4 linked regions of the Drosophila melanogaster genome follow. The protein of the gene in region 1 interacts with the protein of each later gene in a pairwise test. Each region holds a gene or a part of one and is shown in the gene's direction. Other genes may lie near its edges.

Region 1 (5,085 bases):
AGACTTTCTAGGTCAAAACCAGGTTAGGGAGGTCATGAGGGTGGTGTGCAAGCAGTAATAAAACAAAAAGGCGGAGAAAGTCGAAAGCAAAAGCAAAGACAAAATAAATAATTATCATCTTGTCGTTTATATAAGTGTGTGCTATGTGTTTCTCCGAATCGGATTTATGTTATATAAAACAGAAGAACAGTAACAATTTAAAGGCAAATTTCAAGGAATGAAAGCGAACAGTAATAAGAAACAAGGAAACCAAAAAGTAAATATATATATTCATGCAAGAAATACAAAATAAAGTAAACATTGGTGTAAATTAAGCAAGAACCTAAGTAAAACCTACTAAAAACAACCAAAAAAAATAAGAAGCTTAATACGTAATTTCCTGAAAACAACAGAAGACATATGCAGAAATCACACACATTTACCGTTACTTTTCACACACATACAGCACCTCTCTCTCTTTAGCTATTGCGTTTTAGATTATTGCTCAGCACGTTTTTGCGTAGACACAAAACTATTTATGCTAACGGTAAGATAGAACCTCCTCTCTCTCTCTCACCCACACACACACACACCTCCCCCACTTACACACACACAAGCACTCGCAAAAACAAGAAGACGAAGAGAAAAACTAAATTTTTTTCTTATAATCGGAATGCCGGATTTCTAACGGGAAAGGAAACAAAAACACAACAGGACTTCTAATAAGTGTTTATACATACAAATATATATATATATACATGTACATGTATACATATGAAACAAAACAAAAAACAAAGCAAAGCATAATTTTTTGTCATAATGCAAAATATTTGTGTGAGAAACCAATTTTTGATGTAACAGAAAAACGCGCGAAAAATTGAATATGTGTAACGGTAACAGAGCAAAAGATAGATAAAAGAAAGTAAAAAATTTATTTCATTCGCTTAGTTTTTCCCAAACGATCGATCCATTTCCTCATTTTCCGTTAGTAACTTTTAAACTCAAATCTTTTAGCTGCCATTTCTAAAGCAAAAAAAAAAAAATGAAACAACAAACCGAGAAACCAACAAATACAAAAACTAGTTTAAAATCTTAGTTTGTAAAGCGTTTATTTGAATTTAACTGTTTAATTCTACTTTACCTATTTCTATTTAACTGGTTTTTTGTGCAAGGAACAAACATTACTTAAGTTTTTGTAAGAGATTAGTGAATTATGTGAGCTGAGTGCGATATAGAGCAGTATTGCAATTGCAACTGCAATCGCAAATGTGGATTTATGGAGGCAATTTCAAGTAACAATACGAGTAAGAAATGAGAAAGCAAACAAAAACCAAATGAGATCTTCAATGTGAAATAAAAGTACTTCTTTGAAAACCCTCGTTTTATTTGGGCGGCAAAGTAATATAAAATGTGATTGAGTAAGTATTTATTCGAGTATTTCAATAACCGCCAAACACTACTATTATTTTGATATAACATTGTGTGACACATTATATAAAAGCTTATTGAATATTTTACGTAAACATTTATATTTCAAGTTATATTGAAAAAGAAAGTTCGATAAGCTAATTTAGTATTTTTTGAAAACAGGGAAAGCTGCAGTATTTTATTTAGGGTCACACTAATAGGCCAAGTGGTGCGTTATTTTTCGCTATAACGCCAAACGGTTGTTATAGTTGTGCAATATAGTAGTTGATAAACTAATCTCGCTACCTTTTTTTCCGATTGTTTAACTTACAACGACGCGCGGCGGTGCGACTGAGACACCAGATATATAGCGTGCGATTCTAGATCCGGACAATCCGCATATAGAAAGCCCCCATTCACATCCAATTTCTGTCAGTCGAACGAGAATAACACAGCGAAAATGTTGCGTACTCTGTCACGCGTTAGCGAATTGCCCATTATTGTTAAGCAACTGCAAAAAGTACGTAATCCCAATCCCGCTTTGCACCCACTAACATTTCTAATTGTTGTCACTAAAAATGCAATTGAACAAATCCATTCGATAATGAAAACACTAAAAGCGTTGCCATAACAACAACAACAACAACATCATCATCAGCGGATGTCGGATACTTAGCAACAACAACAACAACAGCAGCATCGATATCATCAGGAATGGGAGATATTCATCGTCGTTTTTCGGTTTATTCCAGAATGCAGCCCAAGCAGGTGTTTCGAAAACCAACAATTATGCCACGGAGGCCACCGTTCAAGTGAATCGGGTGCGTATTATAGCATTAAGTACTTGTAACTCAGGAAAATTCAAAAGTCGGAAGGGAAAAAATACGGTTACATAATGCGATTTTCGCCAGATAGCAAACGGTTTGCGTGTGTGTGTGTGTGTGTGTAAGTGCAGGGTTGCATTTTGCCGGTCAATCCGCTCATTTTCAAATGACAAGGTCACGCAGTAATTTGTAGTTTTCCGTCTCCCACGCTCTTTATCACCGTCTGCCTTTTGCGTGGCCGACGCGTGACTGTTCACGCACCATATAACATATAGTCTTATCAACGATCCGCCGATTTTCACCCTCTCTCTCTTTCTCTCCGTCTGTCTGTCTGGCTCTCTGTTTACGTCGATTCTCACGCCATAAATTAGCCGCCATAAATCCAAATTTGGTTTTTGGAGCATACTTCCGAAAATCCTCGATATGTGGTTATAGCTCTCTATAGATTAGTATACTTTGATTAGAGAAGCTTGAAGCCTATGGTTATTTGGTTTATCCAATCAAACTGCTATCATTTTATTACTTATCATGCGTTCCAAACGTTTCCGTTACGTTCTTATCAGATGTGTGTGTCAGTTGTTAATGTAAAAGTAGAAAACGTTTTTAAAATTAATGAAGTTTAGGGATCTAAATTCTAAATATGCTTTCCAACTTTGCAGCCCTTCAAGCTGCACCGCCTGGACGAAGGACCCGCCACGGAAGTGAAGCTGACCAAGGATCAGGCCCTCAAGTACTACACACAGATGCAGACGATCCGTCGGTTGGAGACGGCCGCCGGTAATCTGTACAAGGAGAAGATCATTCGCGGCTTCTGTCATCTGTATTCCGGCCAGGAGGCATGCGCCGTTGGCATGAAGGCGGCGATGCGGGATGTGGACAACATCATCTCGGCGTACCGTGTCCACGGATGGACCTACCTGATGGGCGTCTCACCCAGCGGCGTACTGGCTGAGCTCACCGGTGTCCAGGGTGGCTGTGCCCGCGGCAAGGGTGGCTCCATGCACATGTACGCACCGAACTTCTACGGAGGCAATGGCATCGTGGGTGCTCAAGTTCCTTTGGGTGCCGGCGTTGGCTTGGCCTGCAAGTACAAGGGCAATGGCGGCATGTGCCTGGCCCTCTACGGTGATGGTGCCGCCAATCAAGGACAGGTGTTCGAGGCTTACAACATGGCCTACCTGTGGAAACTGCCTGTGATCTTTGTCTGCGAGAACAACAACTACGGTGAGTGCTGTAGAAAGTGGAACAATGCTAAAAGATATTTACTTAAACCAAATGTTGTATAATTATACCCATTAGGAATGGGCACCAGTTCTGAGCGTGCTTCCTGCAACACTGATTACTATACCCGCGGCGACGCTCTGCCCGGAATCTGGGTGGACGGCATGGATGTGCTGGCCGTGCGCAGCGCCACCGAGTTCGCCATCAACTATGTGAACACTCACGGACCTTTGGTGATGGAGACGAACACGTACCGATACTCTGGACACTCCATGTCCGATCCGGGCACATCGTACCGCACACGCGAGGAGATCCAGGAGGTGCGCCAGAAGCGTGATCCCATCACCTCCTTCAAGGAGCTGTGCATCGAGCTGGGTCTGATTACCACCGATGAAGTTAAGGTGGGTTTGGCTTATAGGGTTTTATTTTTGTTATGAGTTATGATTGCTAAAAGAAAAAAACATCTTCCAGGCCATCGATCTGAAGGTACGCAAGGAGGTCGACGAGGCCACCGCCTTCGCCAAGTCCGATGCCGAGCTGGGCGTGAGCCACCTCTGGACGGACGTGTACTCCAACAATCTGGAGCCCAAGCTGCGCGGCACCATCGCCTACGATATTGATCACATCCAGGAGCGCAAGGGCGTCAATCACTAAGTCATCGGGCCAACGAATCTGATTCGGGAACTCACAAGAACCTTAAACGAAACAAGAAAACCGAACAGCAAACACAAATCACTGACAGACAGACAAGAAGACACAATAACTCAGAAACTTGGACACAAGCGAAATCTCTAGATCATAAGCCGAAAGTTGAACGATGAGAACCCCGTAGAACGGAACGGATCCGAAGAGACCCACAAAAAGCTTAGCTAATCGGAGCACTCCAACCACACATCGTAGCGCACCACATAACTCTGGGGTACTGCATTGGATATTATATTGCGAACGTGTTCAATAAGGATAAAGCGAGGTGTAAATTGTTGAAAATATAAAAATCTAGAAAAATTAATCCAAATTAGTTTTCTTAACAAAAGTGAATCAAGTATGTACTTTTGAAATGTGAAAATCTCAGTCTGTTTCACCTATACTTGCACTATAGAATTTTGATAGATTTATAAGATATTAATAAACGGAATAGATTTAATAGATAATTCGATTTGTGGAAGAATTACAGTTCGAATCAAAGTAGTATTTGAAAAGGAGCAGTTGTCAGCTCCATAAGCAATCCCAAAATCGTTATATTTCCTTCTCGTTCTGTTTAGTGACAGTTGCCATCTCTGTCGATTTGCTTATGATTTTACTGTCGATTTCTTTTCGGTTGAGTACAAATCCATTTTTCAACAATTTCCGATCATATTCAAAATTTTAGTGCGTGGCAATTGCCCATTTGGCTACAAGCTCATTTTAGTGCCCCGGTGTTTGGGAATTGGTATTCGGGCAAGGGCCAATGATGAAGTTCAGTTGTGTCCGCGTGGCGATGAGATGCAGTGGAGCCCACTCCATCCTCGAGAGAAATATGCTCTGCAGGATAATAGGGCGCCACAAATGTAGCTGTTTGACCCTGGAGAACGTAAGTGTTTTGATTATCACAAGAAGGTCAATGGATAAGTAAATACCATTGAAAAAAGCTATATCGTAAAAGTTATATTTTTCA
Region 2 (3,066 bases), on another chromosome or scaffold:
ACTTACTAAGTTCACTATACGAGTTTTCTATAAGGGAATATACTCTTAGACTTGAGAACATGCAACTGTTTGCGGAAACTATCTGTTAAATATTATTTCTCGTTTAATAACTAACATATTTCTTAAATTCCACAACAGTTTCGTGACGCACTGCCCGTTGTGAGTGTGTGGAAAATGCCAGGGAAAATGCATAAAGCGGCGGATGTTTTCATAATTTTTAATGCTTTAGTTTTATTTAAGTGTTTATGGAGAATAACTAATGAAAAACGTCATGAATTGCATATTCCGCCGCACTCGGGTATTAATAAACGGGCGGCGTGCATGGGCCTGTGCTTGTGTTAAAGCGCAACATGATTCGCTCGATTTAAAATGCATTTCCATGCCAATGGCAACGCGCCGAGTTGCCGCCCTTTGATTTATAAAACAGGCCGTTTCCTTAGCCGATTCCCCAGTCTCGACCGCATCCCAGATCTCTGCTCCATGTCGCCGCTGTTTGTTTACTTAATGTCAATGCAATTAAGGGGAAATACTTTTGGGCAAATATCTCGTTGCCAGCGACCGTGCCTAAAACAAATAAGCAGTCTCGTTACTTTACAGCCAGATCTCTTATATTTCCACGCTTTAAATGCTCTTGCGAATGTTCAGTTTACACATCAAATCTTAGCTATTCTAACACAAAACAATAAGCCAGGTTGTAGGTTGGGGTGTTTCATGTTGTCCAGGTATCCAGGGCAAGGCTCTGCAAGATAAAGGGATTAAGGATTGCGATTAGTTACAAACTTTTGGGATAGATGTTGTATCTGAATGGCAGATCTCTTAGGCAAGTGGTTCTCATGTTACACATATCTATTATTGTACAAATAAAATTCCTAATTAAACTATTATTGTATAAGACGGAGACTTTAAGATGCTAGTTTGCAAACAAATATTATAACTTAAGGTTTAAACATAGTCTATAAATTTATTAGACAAATACAGGGAATAGTTTACGGAATGTTGTCCTTGGATAATGTCATATTTTATGTCAAGAACTTAGCAACCTAGCATAAACACAAAATTCTAAAAAATGGAACTTACACAATCAAAACATTGAAATATAAGGCGACTACGCTGAATCACGGATCTTGCGCGGGGTTTAATGGCTTAGCTTAGGGTTCGGTACTGCGACTTCACTCCTTCTTGGGAACACTCAGCTCGTAGAAAAGCTTGCCCATGCCACCGATGCCGACGAGGGCGAGAGCGACGGTGACGCGGTAGAGCACGTTGTCCACGACGGATCCCTTGAGGAAGACGGGCTTGCCGTCCTTCTTCTGAAAGTGCTCCTGCACCTTGCGGATCTCGAAGTATCCCTTCTCGATCTGGTCCTTGGGCACGGCGGCGGACCGGCGGCCAGCGGTGGTAGCGAAGCTACGGACAACAGCCTGCCGAGGAGTACAAAATGTGCGGTTAGTTCTGAGGCTCCAGGGAACTTACGTAATTGGATGTAGGTAATGGGATCTCCAGTGTTTCGGAACTCATGCTGTTCCTCCAGAAAGGTGTGTAGAGTAATGTAAATTACTTACTCTCGACAGGTTCATCATTTTGCTGGGGTTTATTTTTAAGATTTAGCAAAAAGTGAGCAGTTTTCCTGGGCGAAAAATATCGGTCTGAAATATGACAGCTGACAACTGGAGATATATCGATGTATTATCGATACATCGATGTCGATATTTCCAGCAGTTTGGCATTCACCTGGAAATTCCTATTTAGTTTAATAAACAATTTAAGCAGCTGCCAATAAAAACATTTGTTTATAATTCCATAGCGTTACTAAAATACAGACGTTGTCATGGGCTTCCTCACAGTATTAAAAAAGATGCGACAGAAGGAAAGGGAAATGCGCATATTACTGCTGTGAGTTCCATGGAATTATAAAAAAATAAATAGTGATTCATGTATCGACTTTCTTATAGAGGTCTGGATAATGCCGGCAAGACGACAATCCTGAAGCGCTTTAATGGCGAACCCATAGACACCATCTCACCCACACTGGGATTCAATATTAAAACCTTGGAGCACAACGGCTACACCCTGAATATGTGGGATGTCGGTGGCCAGAAGTCTCTGCGATCCTACTGGAGAAACTACTTCGAGTCCACTGATGGTCTGGTCTGGGTGGTGGATAGCGCTGACAGGATGCGCCTAGAGTCCTGCGGCCAGGAGCTGCAAGTTCTGCTCCAGGAAGAGCGATTAGCTGGAGCCACACTCCTAGTTCTCTGCAACAAACAGGATCTACCGGGAGCCCTCTCATCCAACGAAATTAAAGAGGTTCACTCTCATTGATTTTTTATTGAAACAACACATTTAATATACTTTATATTTAAAGATACTACACCTAGAGGATATCACCACACATCATTGGCTGGTGGCCGGAGTTAGTGCAGTGACTGGCGAGAAACTGCTTAGCTCCATGGACTGGTTGATCGCCGATATAGCTAAGCGTATATTCACTTTGGATTAAATACAATTTATTTTACTTCCTTATTTCTCGACCAAGTACATTTTGTATAGCTTTTCCTGCTTTTCGTCCGCAAAATTGGGCTTAAAGTTCACCTTGTGTATGGATATAAATCCTTCGTCTAGGGCGGGTTCCTGGTACTTTTTCTTCATCATGTTAAATACCATGTCCTTGATCTTGGTGCGCGCGGAGTCTGATAGCTCTCGGAAAGCTATATTGTGCTTCACTTGGGCGACGGGCACATTCATCACAAGGCAGCGGCATGGAATCATCTTTTCGCTGGCCAACTGCAAGAATTTTTTTCGAGAAGCTGCATCCACATTGGTGTTATCCACCACACATGATTGGCCCGAGTCCAGGAACCGTTTACAGGCAGTCAGGCAGTTTTGAGTGCTACCCAATGTATCTGCATTGACGATTTTGTAGCCCCGCGGTTGAAAAAAGCTGGAACAAAAGTGGCTCTTTCCGGATCCTGGCAGACCCACCATGATGACCATTTCGCAGGGGTGGTCATCGAGGGTCAAGTCATCCGGATCAAGCAGAGATACTTGGTCCTGAACGCTAGTGGG
Region 3 (7,846 bases), 4.1 Mb from region 1:
CATTCCCCCATGGGGAGAATAATGGTGCGAAGTCATGAGCGACAGTGGGGTGCCCACTTTTAGAGGGCGGATGCTCGTGGATAGGGATCATGGAGCTTCCTTCATATACACAACATATATTTATATATATATATATATATATATATATATATATATATATGTATATGCATATTCTGATATATGTATATAGCCCCCAGCCCATATGTAAATGGGGCCAGCCCCAACGGACTCTTGCCATGTTTTCAATTGCCTCGGGCGGATACCCCCAGTTCAGTCTGTCCTGTCGTTTACTGCTCGTGCTGATTATGTATATTCCCATACTTTACTTTCGACCTCCTCGCTCGCACTCTCCCTATCTGTGAGTGTCCGGGGTGTGTCCCGAAGCCACCTCTCAAGGAACGGCGCCATGTATTGGCGTTTGAAGGATCTGCACTAATCACGAGTTGGCTTACGAGTATGAAATCGAAATTCAAATTGCACGAACAGCGACACTCCTTGTACATAAGGCCCCTATGTCAGTGCCAAAGTGGTCTATAACAGTTCCGTTGCACGCAAGAAATTTATTGCAATTCCCAAAGAACGTACCGTGAAGTAAACTAAATGTCCAAGTATAATAGCATACCACTAACACGGCAGAAGAAAATAATGCCTTCGCAAAAATAACGTTCTTTCACCGGTATGGTAATGTGAGAATGCCTTTAAAAGGGTTTTCGCAGTGCGCCTTTTAAGTATTAAAATAATAGTTCGTGGTTCAAAATAAGATTTCGTTGCTGACTAATATAAAATCACAAATATGTGATCAATCCTCCCCAGATCTAATCATGGTTGGTACTCAAAATCTCAAAGTATTACAACCCGACTGGGATTTTAAATGATGAATTGATCTGATTCTTAAATAGCCAACTACATATAGAAAAGGCGAGAGCGTAATTCCAGAAAATTTTTCTTATCGCCCTCGTTCCTCAATAGGATAATGGCTGATATCACCATCTGATATTATCGTGCTAAATGCCGGTCACAATCGCATGTCTTGCCCTGTCCTGTCCTCTCCTTGGACCCACCGCATAGGCGCCACAAGTCGGGGCTGATGTTCCCGCTCCGGAAGTCCAGAGTTGCAGAGAGCTGATAATGATAAATACAATTAAATGACGCGGGGAATGCTGACAACATCAAGTGCAGAGCACTGCTGGAAGAGAACGGCCCAATCCCAGAATCCCTATCTGGGAACGTCAATCCGACGTGCCTGAGGAGGTTCGTGAGGCGCTACAATGGCCTCGCATCCACACTCACTCTCGCGCACACACAAGCAAACATACACAGAGGCTGCAGCACACACACACTCTCACTCAAGTGGCACTCTTGAGAGCGGCAGAGAAAGCAACAGGAAAGAGTTAGAGCGGGATGACGTGCGGCATAAGGACTCGGTTCACATCGTACGTCTCGCTCTGGCGACGAATGGTGGTTGGTTCTCTCGGTGGTTGAATAGGCCACTCACATTGTTGCCGTATCCTTGTTGAAAAGGACATAAGAAGCCACTTAGCGCGCCCAACAAAGCCGAGAGTCTCTCCAGTCTGGCTGTGTGCGTGTGTGTGTTTGTGTATGTGTGTGTGTGTGTGCGACTATCCGAGTATCTGCGTTATGTACCCAATGGCAGAGGGATGCAGATACAGATATGCACCACATACATAGTGATACCCAAAGACACCCCGAGCATACGACCTGGTACTTTTCTGCCGTTGGTTGTTGGGTTTTGGTTATTGGCTGTTCTGAAGCGACTTGGACTCGTGTTGAGTTCTTGATGCCTCGTTAGTTGTTGATGACACTTCAGTTTGGAATGTGTAGAGTGCGCTGCTCCGCGGACCCGTGCAACTGAGAAATCGAGAAACGACTCGCGACCCTTGAACTATCGAACTTTCCCGGTGATAAACTTAAACTTAAGCCTAAATCGAACTATGTCTGGAATTTAAGTTGCCCTACCAGGATACCCGCTTAATTCATCGCAGTGCTACCCAGTAACTACACATAAACATATTTTTTTTCCGTGCTCCGAACACCGTAAAAGCTCCAAAGTGGCGGAGAAACGCAAAAGTCCGCCCACGCCGCCACCCGCGTCGCAGCGTAGTAAATCAAACAGTGGTTCCCCGATATCGCAAAGCGATATGACCACGTCGGCGTCCTTGGAGAGGACCCCCTCAAAGCGGGATCGAGATCGCGAGCGGGACAACAGCAGCGGTCTGGGCAGCGCTGGCAGCTTGCCCGCATCGCCCCAAAGCGCTATCACGGTGAGTCCGTCCTCCCCAGCCACGCCGAAGCGCCCGCTGCGCACCTCAACGCCCTCGCTGGAGCGGAAGAGGGAGCGTGAGGATCGAGAGGACCGGGAGGATCGCAAGGAGCGGCAGGAACGGCACGAGCGAGACAGAGATCACGAGAGATTCGCCGCAGTCTTCAGCACCGCCAGCACCACCGTGCCCACGAACACAAGTTCCAGTTCCGGATTGGCGCCCGAACAGCTCCGCATTCCGACGGGTGCAGCCGCCTTCAGCGGATTTCCGGGGCTCCACAGCATGAGTAGTCTTATGCTTCCATCGTCGGCGGCTGTGGCCGCCGCAGCAGCGGCCCCGTTTCTGCCCTGGTCGCCCATCCTGCTGCCGCCGTGGAACCACGCCCTCCTACCAGCCGCCTTTTATCCGGCGGCCCTGCGAAACGCTTTGCCTGGGTAAGCACAAGGATTCCAATGGAATAATTAAAACATTGATACCTCTGGAGTGGTGAACACAAACCTATGATTCATATGTCTTGGTTACGAAAAGCATATTTTGGTGATACGTTGACACAAGTCCATTCTAGTTCTTCTAATTATGACCTCTGTTTTGTGGGCTATTTATAAACGCTTAAGCATTGGTAACACTTTGATGGCATGGATCTGGCCAAGATATGGATAATAAGGACATGCCTCAGATTGAAACAAAATTACTGACCACCGACAATACGTTTGCCTTTCATGGCTGACCACTTTGTAAAAAACAGATATGGTTTTCAAGGTTTTGGGTTCCCGATTAATTTTCTATGTCTTTCTATTAATTCTCCTAATCTAATAATTTGGAAGATTGGGCGTTGAAAGCAGAATCTGCAGAATACGCAAGACCATTAATTAATTCTCCTAATCTAATAATTTGGAAGATTGGGCGTTGAAAGCAGAATCTGCAGAATACGCAAGACCAGCCATACTTTGCAATTGCCTTCGCCTAAGCTCCGACTTAAAATCACACCCTGCGAGCCTCTGCCTCCATATTAGTGTTTAGATCCCATATAGCTGATGGACTTGTCCGGCTAATCCTGGTAGCTCTTTAAATTAACCAAGCGGGCACAGCGCGCAAGTACAGGACACAGGGTATAATTCCCCGCCTCTTTGATCTGGCAAGTACTCAAGGTCCTGGCGAATGGCGGTTGGGAAATTCTGGCTTGTTGTTCGACCCTGGCTTAGAAATTCCCGTAGGTGAGAGCCAGGGAAACCCCAATCGGGAATGACATGTGTACGACAGACATGGGACTCAGATGCCTTCGAGATACTGGCGTCACACTGTCTGGCAATGGGATTTCCGCTCAGGAGGACGGGGAATGCCCGTGTAGCCTGTCCATAGCGTGGGAAATTCGCGAGTCGGGGTCTTCGGGAAAACTCGAAATGGGAAAACCGGAAGCAAGCAAACTTGCGCCAACATGTGGCACGACCTGTTTCGACCCGTAAAGAGTCCCTGCTGACCTGTGCTGACCTGCACTGACCCGACCAGGTAGCTGCGATCCTTACGAGGCGGATTTGCGTTTAATTGTTGATGGTATTAGGCAAATCAAAACTCGGGGTCTGACCGGGACTAGGTGTCAATAATCCAGCGATTTGGGTGCACTTATTCAAAGTTAATTCCGGGGGAAATGTGCGCGTTTTCGGTTCCGAAGCATGCCTGCAGGATGCACACCCCCCACCTCCTTATCTTCTTAACAACGGCAAGTGCAAAAATCTGTGAAAGTCAGAGCGCTACAGGTAGTGCAGGTAGTTTCCTTTGCATATCCCGACCAACAGGGACCTCCTTTTGTTAAACCTTCCGGCCATTCACACGATTGACACAGGATGTCGCTGCAATAAGCATGAAACAGGGAAAAATCGTTCCACGTCCTCTAAGGAGCCATCTTTATACTCGGGGAGTCATTAATCACTCGATTATATGACAATTTGCCGGGACAATTAAGAAACTACACAGAATCTCAAGAAAAACTATTACAACTCATCTTTGGTATGCTTTTTGCCTTTTTTTCTTTAAAACTGTAGGCGAGTGCTCAATTGAAATGAGAAATAAACATTTAACTCAAATTTTTAGTGTTGAAGTTCAGTTAGAATTAACATATTGATCTCCTTGCAGCTTATTCGATGCAAAGGTGCCGTCGTCCCAACGCTCTGGCTTCCATATATCGGACATCTTGAATTTGGAGGGCTCTGAGCTGAAGAATGCAGCAGCTGCCGCCGCTGCTGCCGCCCACCATGGCAGCGATTTGAGTCACCACTCGGCCAGTGAGTCCACCAGTGGACATCGCGGCCAGGGATCTCACACCTCGCCTTCGGCGCTGTCGCCCACGCCAGCGGGCGTTTCCGCGGACGAGCACCACAATGGCAGCGGGACTGGGGGAGGAGCGGGAGAAGCGGATCACCACAGCACCACCGAGCATCACGCCCCTCCTAGCCATCCGCAGCAACAGCACCCGCACCACCAGCAGCACCACCACCCTCACCTCCTCCTCCCGCAGCAGCACCATCAGCAGGCGGTGGCCCCACTCCCTTTGGCGCACCATCAGAGCGGCGAAGCCCAAAGCCACGCCCATGCCAATGCAGCCGCCGCCCATCTGCTGGCCAGCCACAATGCAGCGGCTGCGGCTGCTGTGGCCGCCGGCCAATATCTGCCCAACCTGCCCAAGAACTTCCCGGGGAGCTTTGGCGACGAGATGTCCTCGTACCACCACATGGCCCAAACCATGCTGCAGCACTCGGGCAGGAGTGCGTGGATCAAGGAGAACGAGCTATACGGTGAGCGAATGTTTCAACTCATAAATGGATACGCATGTATCCATTTTCATTTGCTCCATTTCCAGGAGATAGCTCCTGGCCATATCAATAACCAAGTTAGAGTTGGCTTTTTGAAGAAGCAACACTTAAATGGCAGGTTGTAAGCAAGTCTTTGGATCCCAAACAAATATCCTTTTGAATCGTGGGTAGGCAAAAGAGCAACGAATTAACTTGGTTTCAAAATAGACTCATCAATGAAGTCCGCAGGAAGCTCCCTTTAAGAAATTTACAATTTTCGACTGCATTTAACCCCCGATTAACTGGCCGACTAATGATACTGTTCCGTAACTAACCACTCACTGCTCCCGAGAGCCAGAGAGTTGAAGCAGTCGAGCGATGAGGCAGCTGTATTTGCATACCCTGTGGACTCGACGGATTCACGTGCTTCCAGGGTGTGACAAGCTTTGTTTAATTCTGGCCCTGTTGTGTTTTATTTTCGTTGGCAGTTAACTGCGGATCGAAATGGGTATATAACTGGGAATCAAGGAGCAGGGGTTGGGCTTCCCCTTTAATCATGACTAATAGTTTGTATGCGCTTCACACTTGAGGATTAGCCCTGTTGTTTTTCTGGCAGTTGACGTCCTTCGTGTCCTTCGGCCAGGACATTCAATCGCTGCCCGCTCGATCGCTTCTTGTTGTTGCGGCCCAAACATTTCTCATCCTGGAAATTTATGGCACGCACTTCCGCCTCATCCCTTCCCACTTCTGTTATTATTCCTTTATTGTTTAGCTACAAATTATAGCTGCTGCCCACTTGCCGTTTTTTTATTTTCTCTTTTCTGCTCTTTTTTTGGGAGTTTCCACAGCTGTGAAGGAGTCGAGGAAGAGTCATTTTGATTATATTAAGTTATTAATTTGTTGAGTTGTCATGGTGAGCGCATGGCTTCCGTGGCAGGGCAAATGCGGCTAGCTCGGTGGGAGCTGATAGGCGAGCATTAGGAGCTCCTACGACCCTTGCATTTGTTGTTTTATCAATGTCCCACGGGGACATCACCCCGGGCAGGTGAATACACACATTAGAAGACATTTTATGAAATACATTGCAATAGGAATAGAAATGCAGATAGGACGCGTTCCGATTCTTTGGAATGCTGCCTTCGCAGCACTATATCCAAAAGTTCGAAAGCTAGGAAGAACTAAAGGGCTTCTTTTTGATTTTCTATAGTTACATGCCTCGTTTGAAGTTGCCTGAATACTGGCATAAGCCCACTTCTAATACCTCTGCAACCGCAGATCCCGCCCCAGAATATCAGAAATAGCCACACCCGGCGATAAATCACTAAATCACTATCTGTTGGAAGTTCGGAACTCTTGCGAAAGGGGGCGAACCGGAAGAGACCCGGCTACCATTGATGTGTTTGAGGTCTGGCTTTTGTGTCGTTGTCCCATTAGTATCCTGGTTGCTGGTTTTTAGTACAGGCCCAGGATCAGCAGTCATTCAGCGAGAGATCGAAGCGATCGTTTCAGGTAGACGACAAGGGAATACCCACCTAGGCATGTATTTTTGTATGTATTTGTGTGCGATCTCTGTTTGTCTCCGCCTAATTGGCGTTGTTAGGGTGAAGCTCGTAGGGGATGGGCAGGGGTTGATTTGACGCTGCGGACCATAAGGAGTGCATACATCTGGCATTTGACATTTGGATCGTTTCCGACCACAGCTTCATGTTGCGCCTAATCCAATTGCCGTAGTTGCGATACTGACTTCCCCCTTTTGTCCCGAATTCTGCATGATCACTTGGACGATGTGGAGGGGTGTGTCGCTACATTAATTTACGGCTAAAGAGGTTTCTCAATTGCTGACAAATTCCCACCCAGGGCTCGCACCCTGCCATTGCCTTTCCATTCTGTAGGACCATTGTGAAAAATGCAAATAAATAAATGGCTATCCCAAGCAATTTATTCCTCAATTAGCAGCATATTAAGAAGGGAGTTTTCTCCCGGTTTTAGCCATATATCTACTACGAAGAATTAGCACATTAACCAAAACCTTGATTTCCTCTTTGATTTCAGGTACCCAGCAGCCCGCCAGTCCGGATAGCACCTCCCCAGTTACCTCGGAAGTGTCGTACACCTACATTGGTTCCAACTGCCAGACATCGCCTGCCCTTTCCGGCGATTACAAGAGCTACAGCCGGTCGGCCGATAGCGATGCACTATCCGTGGGCGACGCCCTGCACACCCTCCATGGATCCTCTGGTAATGGAAGTGCCGGAGGCGCTCCGACGGCCCATGCCCTACACAACAACAATAATAATACGACAAACAACAATAACCACAGCCTGAAGGCCGAGGGGATCAACGGAGCAGGCAGTGGTCACGACGATAGCCTCAACGAAGATGGCATCGAGGAGGATATCGACGACGTGGACGACGCCGACGGCAGTGGCGGCGGGGATGCAAATGGATCCGACGGTCTGCCAAATAAGAAACGGAAGCGACGAGTCCTGTTCACCAAGGCGCAAACATATGAGCTGGAACGTCGGTTTCGACAACAACGTTACTTGAGTGCCCCGGAACGCGAGCACCTGGCCAGTTTGATCCGCCTGACGCCGACCCAGGTGAAGATCTGGTTTCAAAACCATCGCTACAAGACGAAGCGGGCGCAAAACGAGAAGGGCTACGAGGGTCATCCTGGTCTACTGCACGGCCATGCCACCCATCCGCATCACCCCAGTGCCCTGCCATCGCCCCGTCGGGTAGCCGTTCCAGTTCTGGTGAGGAACGGAAAGCCCTGCT
Region 4 (4,406 bases), on another chromosome or scaffold:
TTGGGTCAAAAAAACTAGGGGGGCAAAGGCTAAATTGAGGCTAAGCTTTAGCTGCCTCATTACACTCAGAAATATGCACTAACAGCTAGCGTATGGCCAGAATTGAAACATGACACACACATTTTATATGCCCGTTAATTACTGTAATTCAAGATCAAAATTATTGGCCATTTAAAATTGTTGAACCTGATAATTTGCTATGACGACCACCAAATTATTTATTTTAGTGCAGTTCATCGATAGATCGCTCCCATCAGCTCAATCTGCACTTGGCTGCCCCAGATCCCAGATCCAGGAATTTCGTCTGCCTGGTACTTACGCAAATGCTCAGATTGAACTGCCAGTCTATCGTCTGCAGTCTATCCATTTCTCATTAAAACTTTCTTTGCTGTCTGCTCCACAATTACCCGAACGACTTCATCTGCTCGATCCACGGATCCATCCGCGGGTAATGACAGAGCCGGCAAAAAATCTGCCAAAACCAATAGGAAATCATCAGCCAACGGTCAGTGGGTTAATTTTGGCCCACCAAAAATACTGAAATGAATTGGAGAATCCCCGAAGATGGCCTGCAATTAATCATAGATTGAGGCTTATTCGCTATCCAGCGAAAGTAATTTGTAGCCGACAAGAGACCCTGCAGATCGCTTGTAGTTACGATTATCGCACAGCCCACCAGGTGGTCTTCCCACCATGGACACTTTCACATGTCGCAGAGTTGGCGCAGATGGGGAGAAAGGTTGCGAGAGGAAGAAGAGTCGTCGAACATGCAAATGCCTCATCAATCAGCTCCTCCGCCCTTCCCCTTCAAATCGGTGACGTGCTTTTGACACAAAACCCGGCTACTGTGCTACCGCTTGCACATGGCAATCAACGCGTCAAGCGGCCAGGAAACGGATCCCGATTCCGACCCCAGTTCCAATTCCCGTCTGCGGCACACAGAAAAAAGTTATACCTACTGAACTAAATGTGACATTATTTTATACGTATAGAATACGAGAGATAGCTCATATAAATCGCATTGAATTTATATGCAAACCTATTTCTAAACATTCATACCTAAGTGCAATTCATCGTGCGAAAGTAATGCCTTCTTGCGCGCTGTGCACCCAACATTTTCATCCCATCTCCATTTCCATCTCCGCCTCAAACTCCCCATTTCCATTTCCATTTGCCGTTTGGCTTGCAGCAAAATGTGTGAATTTCTTTAGTTTGCAGTAGGCAGCACACAATTTTTGACAGCTGCCTTCGAAATGGGAACGGTCAGCCGAGGAAAATGCATCCATCCTCCGGTGCAGAACAGTCGCACCGCAGTTCTGGGAAATCTGCACACGCTGGTCTTGTTTGTGGGTCAGCCTCAGCCGATGGAGGCGAATAGAACTGCAAATGGGCAGACTCCACCCAGAATGTCGGGGCTTATTAGCTGCACGCTAATTTATTCCGGCAAACAGAAGGCACGGCTTCTGTTGTCGAAGATTTCAGAGCCGCAGATCGCAGACGGGCAGGCGCCAGACAAATGAATGTTGTGAAATCTGGCGATTGCCTGGAAACTTGTCCGCAAAGAGAAAAAAGAAAAAAGAGAAAAGTGCTCAAGGAAAAGCAATATAAATAAAGAAGAATGGCTTGCACATGTTACATAAAACGAGAAGCTTAAAGATAATGGAAACAAAATTTGGATTTGAATATGGGAGTAGGCCTTGAACGAGTCCGTCTAGTCCGTCAGTATCGAGTCAACAACCTACATATTAGTTGCACTCACTTCGTGTCTGAGATCAAACGAAAAAATATTAGAACCAAAAGTTTTGAAAGTTTTTTTTTTATTATAGTTTCAAACTTAAGTGCAAAATGTTTCGGTCGTGTGTGCCCAAGGCGATTACCTCTAGTCGCTGTTTCGCGCGGATGTACTCGAAGGACGTGCGCTTTGGCTCCGGAGTACGGGCAATGATGATCCGGGGCGTTGATATTCTGGCTGATGCCGTTGCTGTGACCATGGGGCCCAAGGGTCGCAGTGTGATCGTGGAGCGACCATGGACCTCGCCGAAGATCACCAAGGACGGCTTCACGGTCGCGCGCTCGATTGCCCTAAAGGACCAGCACATGAATCTGGGCGCCAAGTTGGTCCAGGATGTGGCCGATAATACGAATGAGTCGGCGGGTGACGGCACGACCACAGCAACAGTTTTGGCTCGAGCGATTGCCAAGGAAGGATTCAATCAGATTACCATGGGGGCTAATCCCGTGGAGATTCGTCGAGGTGTCATGTTAGCTGTTGACGTCGTAAAGGACAAGCTGAAGGAAATGTCCAAGGCAGTGGAAACGCGTGAGGAGATCCAACAAGTAGCCACCCTCTCCGCGAACGGGGATACTGAAATTGGGCGGCTCATTGGTGAGGCCACCGACAAAGTGGGTCCAAGAGGAACTATTACTGTAAAGGATGGCAAGCGCCTGAAGGACGAGCTAAATATTATCCAGGGCCTGCGCTTCGACAACGGCTATGTGTCGCCCTTTTTCGTAAACAGCTCCAAGGGGTCCAAGGTGGAGTTTGCCAACGCCCTTGTAATGATATCCCTGAAGAAGATCACTGGACTCTCGCAAATAGTTAAAGGTCTGGAGCAATCCCTGAGGCAGCGTCGTCCCCTGATCATCATAGCCGAGGACATCAGCGGGGAAGCCCTCAATGCTTTGGTCCTGAACAAGCTCAGGTTGGGCCTCCAGGTGTGCGCCGTCAAATCGCCCAGCTATGGACACCACCGCAAGGAGCTTATAGGCGATATATCCGCTGCCACGGGAGCAACTATTTTCGGCGATGACATCAACTATTCCAAAATGGAGGAGGCTAAGCTGGAGGATCTGGGTCAGGTTGGCGAGGCTGTGATTAGCAAGGACAGCACCATGCTCCTGCAGGGCAAACCCAAGACAGGACTTTTGGAAATGCGCATCCAGCAAATTCAAGATGAACTGGCGGAAAAGCAAATCAAGCCAGAGCAGCGGGATCGTCTGCGCCAACGCCTCTCCGCCCTCACGAAGGGCGTGGCAGTGCTGCACATTGGTGGAGGCAGTGAAGTTGAGGTGAATGAGAAAAAGGACCGTGTGGTGGACGCCTTGAATGCCACTCGAGCGGCCATCGAAGAGGGAATTGTCCCAGGTGGCGGTACGGCCTTTTTGCGCTGCATTCCCTACCTCCAGGAACTCAAAACGGAGAGTGCAGATCTCCAGAAGGGCGTCGATATCGTCTGCAATGCCCTGAGGATGCCTTGCCAGACCATAGCTCAAAACGCCGGAGTTGATGGCCCAATGGTGGTGGCCAAGGTGTTGAATGGCTCGGAAGACTACGGCTACGATGCCATGGGCGATGAGTACTGTCGGCTGGTCGAGAAGGGCATTATTGATCCCACAAAGGTGCTGCGGACCGCCATCACGGATGCAGCTGGAGTGGCCTCTCTTCTGAGCACCACCGAGGTGGTTATCACCGACTCCCGGAACGATGATCTTTTGTCCAAGTTGTCAGGAGCTGGCGGCGGAATGGATGATGGACTGGACATGAACATGGGTGGCTTAGAGGAGCTGGCAGCCTTAAGTGGATTGGGTGGCATGGGTGGTATGGGAGGCATGGGTGGTATGGGAGGTATGGGAGGAATGGGAGGTGGATTCGGCGGAATGGGCGCTGGTGGCGGAATGAGCGCTTCTGCCAGCAATGACGGTCCCACTGCCGAGGAGATGAATGAAATGGTCAAGGCTATTCCCGGCATGGAGCAAGTAGAGGTGCGTGACATTGACAGTGGGATGATGTAGAACCCGCTTCCGTTATCCGCTCCAGCTCAAATCGTTTCTATAGTTCAAATATCTGTTGAGTGTCTAAATTTTATGTGTTCATCTAAAATATAAATTGACAATCGAAAACGAATTGTATAAAACAGTCGGGAACCCTTCCAAATGACTTGAGAAAGTGAATTATTGGCCTTTTCCCTACACCAGCAGTTTTCTGGCCAAATATCTTTCAACCGGTTCATTATGCTGGTCTGCAAAAAGCTACACTTCCTTCACACTTTCGGTTTTTAATTGCAGCCGAAAATTTGGAACGGCGACCGGCAGAGCGAATCCAGCTGCAATGCGATGATCATTTGCATAAAACAAACAGCAATTTCTCACACATGTGAGCCGACCCTCGGTTTTTTCCCCCGTACTTTGCATGGTTTGTGTTTGCAGATTTCATTTGTGGCCCGCAGCTAAAAAAGCGATTCGTTACATGAGAGTGAGTGCGCAAGAAGGGGGGCCTGAGGCTGGGAGCCTCCACAAGAGCGTCACATCAAACATGCATCAATAAATAAGTAATTCCAATTTGCAAATTTTTCATCGAGGCCCGCAAACGAACCGAAAATGGTGGACGGACCCATCGAGCATCGAGC

The links.
Region 2: the proteins of Pdha (region 1) and Arl2 interact in a two-hybrid assay, tested with the Drosophila melanogaster proteins (one large-scale study listed by BioGRID).
Region 3: the proteins of Pdha (region 1) and vnd interact in a two-hybrid assay, tested with the Drosophila melanogaster proteins (one large-scale study listed by BioGRID).
Region 4: the proteins of Pdha (region 1) and Hsp60B interact in a two-hybrid assay, tested with the Drosophila melanogaster proteins (one large-scale study listed by BioGRID).

Annotation. Positions count from the first base shown.
Region 1 is NC_004354.4:4,700,686-4,705,770, forward strand, and holds Pdha (pyruvate dehydrogenase E1 alpha subunit), read left to right. Parts: upstream 1-1,639; 5' UTR 1,640-1,846; coding exon 1,847-1,906; exon of another isoform or gene 1,907-2,006; coding exon 2,007-2,207; intron 2,208-2,869; coding exon 2,870-3,434; intron 3,435-3,509; coding exon 3,510-3,832; intron 3,833-3,902; coding exon 3,903-4,085; 3' UTR 4,086-4,580; downstream 4,581-5,085. Other genes in the region: CG7024 (uncharacterized protein), read left to right, coding at 4,879-5,001.
Region 2 is NT_033777.3:8,339,351-8,342,416, forward strand, and holds Arl2 (ADP ribosylation factor-like 2), read left to right. Parts: upstream 1-1,749; 5' UTR 1,750-1,828; coding exon 1,829-1,893; intron 1,894-1,952; coding exon 1,953-2,307; intron 2,308-2,310; exon of another isoform or gene 2,311-2,365; coding exon 2,366-2,500; 3' UTR 2,501-2,520; downstream 2,521-3,066. Other genes in the region: COX7A (cytochrome c oxidase subunit 7A), read right to left, coding at 1,170-1,421, 1,474-1,518; PNKP (polynucleotide kinase 3'-phosphatase), read right to left, coding at 2,521-3,066. UniProt on the Drosophila melanogaster protein: GTP-binding protein involved in protein trafficking; may modulate vesicle budding and uncoating within the Golgi apparatus.
Region 3 is NC_004354.4:589,236-597,081, forward strand, and holds the start of vnd (ventral nervous system defective), read left to right. Parts: upstream 1-1,806; 5' UTR 1,807-2,159; coding exon 2,160-2,716; intron 2,717-4,412; coding exon 4,413-5,071; intron 5,072-7,120; coding exon 7,121-7,846. UniProt on the Drosophila melanogaster protein: Probable transcriptional regulator involved in the regulation of the proneural AS-C genes and the neurogenic genes of the enhancer of split complex. Could specifically activate proneural genes in the ventral-most neuroectoderm.
Region 4 is NT_033779.5:726,663-731,068, forward strand, and holds Hsp60B (heat shock protein 60B), read left to right. Parts: upstream 1-1,699; 5' UTR 1,700-1,845; coding exon 1,846-3,792; 3' UTR 3,793-3,902; downstream 3,903-4,406. UniProt on the Drosophila melanogaster protein: Prevents misfolding and promotes the refolding and proper assembly of unfolded polypeptides generated under stress conditions.